Linked DNA regions of Danio rerio. The protein of the gene in region 2 purifies or fractionates together with the protein of the main gene of each other region. This does not show direct contact. Links are inferred from orthologs where the notes say so. Each region holds a gene or a part of one and is shown on either strand. Other genes may lie near its edges.

Region 1 (3,749 bases), on a different chromosome or scaffold from region 2:
CCACTGTATTTTAAATGGGTTGAGGTCAGCATGCTGACTGGGCCAGTCCATTCTTTTGTTAAAGTCATTCTATTGTTGATTTACTTTTATCCTTTGGATTGTTGTCTTGTTGCATCACCTATCCTCTGTTAAGCTTCAGTAGGAGGACAGATGGTCTTACGTTTTCCTGAAAAATGCCTTGATAAAGTTTGGGATTAATTTTTCCAACACAGATGAAGAAAACGCACACACATACACAAACAATACTAAACTACTTCTAGGCTGTCTTGCTCTCCAGCAGGCATCTTATCAGGATAAATCCTGGAAGAAGATTCTGAGGAAAAAACTAACTTGACACACAGAAAAAGCAATGACACATCTGGTCATCATATAATCTAGGCCCTTAAACACAAATTCAACTTTTGATATTGGACAGATATCTGCAACTTTTGCAAAACACTGGCATATTAGCTTTCTTAATGTGCGCATCTCCCTTAAGTTAGGCCTATTATTAAAAAAAATATATATATATACACACACACACACACACACACACACACATATATATATATATATATATATATATATATATATATATATATATATATATATATATATATATATATATATATATATTTTTTTTTTTTTTTTTTTTATATATATTTATATACACACACACACACACACACACACACACAGTTGAAGTCAGAATTATTAGCCCCCTTTTGTTTTTTGTTTTTTTTTTTATATTTCCCAAATTATGTTTAACAGAGCAAGGAAATTTTCACAGTATGTCTGATAATATTATTTTCTTCTGGAGAAAGTCTTATTTGTTTCATTTCGGCTAGAATAAAAGCAGTTTTTAATTTTTTAAAAACAATTTTGGGAAAAAATTATTATCCCCTTTTAGCTAATTTGTTTTCTGATAGTCTACAGAACAAACCATCGATATACAATAACCTGCCTAATTACCCTAACCTGTCTAGTTCACCTTATTAACCTAGCCTTTAAATGTCACTTTAAGCTGTACAGAAGTGTTTTGAAAAATATCTAGTCAAATATTATTTACTGTCATCGTGACAAAGATGAAATAAATCAGTTTTTAGAAATAGGTTTCTAAAACTATTATGCTTAGAAATGTGCTGAAACAATCTTCCCTCCATTAAACAGAAATTGGGGAAAAAAAATAAACAGTGGCTCTAATAGGTCAGAGGGGCTAATTCTGACTACAACTGTGTCTGTGTGTATTTTGCCTATAGACCTACATAATCACTAATAATGTTCTCTTTAAACACTTAATAGGGGCAGAACACCCCATGACACGTTTTGTATCTTTGTTTCGTTGTGTAGGTTACACAAGTGTTTTTTTTTTTTTTTTTTTAATCAGATTTAAAAAAGAATTTTTTTATATATATTTTTTTTTACTGTTTTGCTATTTTCTTAAAAAGATAATACAGTATAGGCTATATAACTTATAGGATACTATTGTAAGAATATATGAGCAGTTGGTCTTCCAGGGGTCTTTTCTTTATACTTTTCAACTTTCCACATTTGTTGTTGTGCTCTACAATTTCATGTGTTTGTGGGTCAACCAGTTATTAAACCCAAAGGTTCACATCCTTTTTCAATCTAGGCCCTTAAACACAAAGTCAACTATATTAACATTCATAAAGTCATAAGAAAAGATATGTGTTGCTTCGTCCTGGAGCAGACATTCATCAGAAAATCCAATCCTTCACTATGTGTGTGTATATCACATAAACTTAATAAATGTATAAAATCAACACAAAACTTTTATTCTTTCCAAAAATTTGCCCTTTAATCTTTGCCCAGCACTAGTTTGTAGAAATATATTTAATTATATTACTGAGTCAAATTTTGATCATTGAATTCCAAATGAAAATTTCACTGTAGGCATAATTTACTAAATAAAATGGTACAGTAGGTACTGCTTTTCCTTGTCGTAAGTCCTTTAAATCCAACTTTATAAAAAATAAAAAACAGGTTTTCACGTGTTGCAAATATAACTTTATATGTATTAGTAATCATGCTGTATTTTATCTGTAAACCGAATAAAGGACTGCCATGGAGAAGAAACTTATTGGCTGTCCAGTATGCATTGAACATAAGAAGTACAGGAGGAATGCCTTGCTCTTCAATTTGGGTTTAGTCTGTGATGCCAGTACAAAAACATCTGCTTTAGAGCCCATTGTCAAAAAGCTGGCTGGATACCTCACGACTCTTGAGGTAAAAGTTAATTTAGTGTGTACACACACACACACACACACACACACACACAAGTATTCATGTTTTATATATTTATTAAACATATGATGAATTGTCCTTGATTAGCTTGAAAGTGGATTTATTTCAAATGAGGAGAGTAAGCAGAAGCTGTTGCCTATCATGTCCACACTTTTGGAGGATCTTAATATTACAGGAGCCTGCACCCTTCCTATTGGTATGTTTATTTATGAATCTCACTGCCCCCTATACATAAAAACAAATATACATAAAAAAAATACATTTCCTATGCGTTTATGAATCTTACTGGTTTTTATTGTTTTAATAATCCCCCTTTTTCCTCTCTCATGGCAGATGACTCCAACACCATCCACTTGAAGCTAATTGAACAAAGGAAAGACCCTTTGGTTGTTCAGGAGTATGATGTACCGGTATTTACCAAGAATAAGGACCACTTTATAAAGTCACAATGGGATCTTACCACACAACAGGTAAATAAAAAGTCCTTTCCTGTACTTTTATCATATCTAATTTCATTTCGGGTGGGGCAGTAGTAGTGCTGTCGCCTCACAGCAAGATGGTCGCTGGTTCGAGCCTCAGCTTGGTCAGTTGGCATTTCTGTGTGGAGTTTGCATGTTCTCCCTGCATTCGCGTGGGTTTCCTCTGGGTGCTCCGATTTCCCCCACAGTCCAAAGACATACAGTACAGGGGAATTGGGTAAGCTAAATTGTACATAGTGTATGAGTGTGTATGGATGTTGCCCAGAGATGGGTTGCGGCTGGAAGGGCATCTGCTGCGTGGAACATGTGCTTAGTAAGTTAGCGGTTCATTTTGCTGTGGCGACCACAGATTTATAAAAGGGACTAAGCCGAAAAGAAAATGAATGATTTCATTTCATTTAATAAAAATTATTAGACTGAATTAAAATCAAGCATTGCTGTTAAATCAATGACTTCTTCTTGCAAAAAAAAATTATAAAATCAAGAACATGCGATTTGTTGATTTAACTTTTATTTAATTGACAAAAGTACAAAGAAAAAAACTTCCAGTTTTTTCAGTGAGCAAAATATTTGTAATCTGGATTTAGATTGTTTTATATATATATATATATATATATATATATATATATATATATATATATATATATATATATATATATATATATATATATATATATGTGTGTGTGTGTGTGTGTGTATGTGTGTGTGTGTGTGTGTGTATATATATATGTTTGTGTGTGTGTGTGTGTATGTACTGTATATGTGTGTGTGTGTGTGTGTATATTAGGGGTGTCACGATTTCAATTTTTAATTGAAATCGATCGAAATTTATGCTCAATTTCGATTATCGAATCAAAAAATAGAATCGTCGATGCTGCCACGCCCCCATGTCACGTCAGCTTGGCTTGCCAAGCGGGAAAAAAACAGGCTTGTTGAAGTGCTTGTTCAACTGCAGAAGCAGGAGACCCGTCGACAGAACTTAAACCCTCTCCTCTTTCAATGAAGCCACCGGTGTGTAAGCATTTT
Region 2 (3,749 bases):
TTTTTATGCTTTAGAAGAGTCAAAATAGAAGGCAACCTCAGATGCTGAGGTTACTGGTAGTGGGCTGGTTATAGAGGCCACAACAAAACAAACATCCTGACATGGCACACACATACAGTATTCAAAGGAGAATAACTGACTCTAGCGTTGTCTCTCAGATAAACAAGTATGTTCACTTACAGTAGCATGTTTCTTAAATATCTGCAAACATGTTATCGTATTTTTATGCTTTAGAAGAGTCAAAATAGAAGGCAACCTCAGATGCTGAGGTTACTGGTAGTGGGCTGGTTATAGAGACCATAACTAAACAAACAAACATCCTGACACACATATTTAAAGGAGAATATCTGACTTTAGCGTTGTTTCTCAGATAAACAAGTATGTTCATTTGGCTTGTTTCCTAAATATCTGCAAACATATTTTGGTATTTTTATGGTTTAGAAGAGTCAAAAATGTAAATACAGCACAATTAAAGTCTCGTTCTTTATGTTTGAAGGTATTAAAGTGATGTTAGTGTGTTCCGTCAAACCTTTTGTTCATGTCGTGCTGCTCTTTTTCTCGTTCTCGCGGGTCTGTGTAAGTCTGGTTTGCATAGCGATAGTCATCCGGAGTAGATTCTCCCCATGAAGGAGGATGTTCTGACTCACGTCCACCTGAAAAAGGAAACAACAAACTCCAAATAATATCTACAACAACATTTAAAATAACATTTTTTAATAAATTACATTTTTAAAAAAGTAATAATAACAATAATAATCCTTCTTAATATTAATATTCTAATTATTTTTTGAAAATAATAGAACACTACTATTAAATACAATTAATACAAACAATCAGACCAACCAACTGATCAACTAATTAAATAATTAATGTAACTAAATAAATAATAAAATCTGAAATCTGAATTTTCTTAATCTTATTAATTGCAAACCAAATAACAATACAAATTATTATTTGACACAAATTTACAATAATTATTTTGTTATTTAACATAATTGTCAAATGTTTGCACATTTATAAATGCATTAGCTTACAGAAGTGTTTTTCTTATGTCATTAAATAATTAAAAACTGCTTACTAATCTTATTCATAGCAAACCAAATAACAATAGAAATTAATATTAATTATTATAAATTACACAATTACACAAAATAAATTATCAAATGTTTGCACAATTTTAAATGCATTAATTTAAATGACAGATGCACATATTCGTATATAATTAAATATTTAATGTAACATAGTAGTAATTAAATAAATTAATAATAAATAATAGATTGTCGTATAAAATTTCCTATTAATCTTATTAATTGCAAACCAAATAACAATATAAACTACTGTGAATTAATATTTATAATTAATTTGAATAATTACTTATGTTCGCACATTTATAAACGCATTATTTCACATGACATCCGCGAGTTTTCTTATGTCATTAAATACCTAAATATTATTATTATTTTTTTTTTTAGGTTTATTATACATTTTTTAAAATTATTATTTAGTAATGTTAATAATATTATTAATAAATACACAACAATTTACACAAAATAAATTATCAAATGTTTTGCAGATATATAAATGCATTACGTAACATGACAGACGCAATTTTTCATCAATTAACAATCACTAATCCAGCCCAATCTGTTGTTATAAAACCAAAGAAGAGGGTAAAAACCAAATCACACCACCACACAATAAAGATTTTGCTTTTTTCATAAACACTAAACTCTATGAATGAAATCTCACCTGTGTTCCAGGGAGTGTTTGCAGAGTCTGAGGTGCTTGAACACGATCCAGAAGTGACAGAACTGGAGGTGAAACTGGGCTAAAAGAGAATTCATTTATAAAGGCAAACATATAAACACAAACTCACGCTAATTTAAAAAAAGACACATTTACAGGGGGGCCTATAATACCCCTTGTTATAAGATGTAAAATAAATCTCTGATTGCCCTAGAGTGTCTTTGTAAAGTTTTAGCTCAAAATACCCCACAAATAATGTTTTATAGGTCTTTGAAAGGCGACATGGTGGCTCAGTGGTTAGCACTGTCGCCTCACAGCAAGCAGGTTGCTGGTTCGAGTCCCGGCTGGGCCAGTAGGCGTTTCTGTGTGTAATTTTCATGTTCTCCTCGTGTTGGCGTGGGTTTTCAACAGGTTCTCCGGTTTCCCCCACAGTGCATGCGCTATAGATGAATTGGATAAACATAATTGGCCTTAGTATATGTGAGTGAATGAGTGTGTATGGATGTTTCCCAGTACTGGGTTGCAGCCGGAAGGTCATCTGCTGTGTAAAACATATGCAGGATAAGTTGGTGGTTCATTCTGCTGTGGCGACCCCGATGAATAAAGGGACTAAGCCAAAGGAAAATGAATGAATTTTTTGAAACTTTATGTAGACTGTTAGAATAAAATAGAATTAATTGACTTTTACCATTAGAGGCTGGCTATATATTCACAAACTAATGTCACACAACTCTTTATAAATGTGAATTTAGCACAATAGGTCCCCTTTAAAGCAACTTTCAGCAGCCAAAAACACATTTCTTTTCATGCATTTGTAAATTCTAGGATTTGGTCAGTCTAATGTAAAGTCAAAATCCAAAAATACATCTTTAAGTGTGCATTTTGTTGCACTTCATCAGTTTGTCTGTAGATTTTGAATCTAGGGCCATATATACTTGCAACATAAAAGAAAGTTTTGCAAAACAAAAAATAAAGTATTGAGCAAAAAAATTGTCAAATAAAAATTAATTAAATAAATAAAAAAGGGAAAATTGAGTTGAGGAAAGAAAGAGTGCAAAGAAAGTTTTTTTTGCAAATTTTAAAAAATATACATATATTTGCGAATTTTTCCCCCAGTATTGCCTTTACAAAACCTTTCAATTCAAGTCAATTGCAACGCTCATTTTGATGTGCTTTTCAGTTTGCAATGCTGTTTTCTTTTTGCACTTTACATTTCTGTGGGTTTCAATTTCTGGCCCCGATTTGGCAAGGGGGCGGAGTCACAGGAACTGTGACTCACGCGTCCTCCGTACTTGCGGTCTTGAGTATTGGAACTGAACTTAGGCAGCTGATGATGACGTTGCACGAGAACACGAGGACGCAAGACCACTGAAGAACGCATATTGAGAAACAGCCAAAGAAATCAGCCATGAATCGCTGTCATGAATCTAATCGAGAATAAGTAAAATACCTGAATCTTTTGTTTTTGGGGGGGGGTGTTTAAATCGTCAAACAGTAAAGCTCGCAAATCAAAATGAGCGTTGTAATTGGCTTGAGAAGTTTTGCAAAGGCAATATTGGAAATGTTTTTTGGAAATATATGTATATTTAAAAAAAAATTGCTAATACACAGTTGAAGTCAGAAATATTAGCCCCCATTTGATTTTTTTTTTAATAAGATTTTTTTGCTTTTTTTAAATATTTTCTAAATGATGTTTAACAGAGCAAGGAAATTTTCACAGCATATTCGATAATATTTTTATTTCATGAGAAAGTCTTATTAGTTTTATTTCGACTAGAATAAAAGCAGTTTTAAATTTTTTAAACACCATTTTAGGGACAAAATTATTAGCCCATTTAAGCAATTTTTTTCCCACAGTCTACAGAACAAACCATCGTTATACAATAACTTGCCTAATTACTATAATCTGCCAAGTTAACCAAATTAACCCAGTTAAGCCTTTAAATGTCACTTTAAGCTGTATAGAAGTCTCTTGAAAAACATCTAATCAAATATTATTTACT

The links. The genes of interacting proteins can lie anywhere in the genome.
Region 1: the proteins of wdr59 (region 2) and nprl2 purify together in Homo sapiens (affinity purification with western blotting; 5 studies listed by BioGRID and IntAct, with this or other methods). This does not show direct contact. The link is inferred for Danio rerio from reciprocal best matches to the Homo sapiens genes WDR59 and NPRL2.

Annotation. Positions count from the first base shown.
Region 1 is NC_133181.1:20,689,353-20,693,101, reverse strand, and holds part of nprl2 (GATOR1 complex protein NPRL2), read left to right. Parts: intron 1-2,057; coding exon 2,058-2,226; intron 2,227-2,331; coding exon 2,332-2,440; intron 2,441-2,577; coding exon 2,578-2,714; intron 2,715-3,749. UniProt on the Homo sapiens protein: Catalytic component of the GATOR1 complex, a multiprotein complex that functions as an inhibitor of the amino acid-sensing branch of the mTORC1 pathway.
Region 2 is NC_133193.1:7,060,603-7,064,351, reverse strand, and holds part of wdr59 (GATOR2 complex protein WDR59), read right to left. Parts: intron 1,829-3,749; coding exon 1,750-1,828; intron 654-1,749; coding exon 530-653; intron 1-529. UniProt on the Homo sapiens protein: As a component of the GATOR2 complex, functions as an activator of the amino acid-sensing branch of the mTORC1 signaling pathway. The GATOR2 complex indirectly activates mTORC1 through the inhibition of the GATOR1 subcomplex.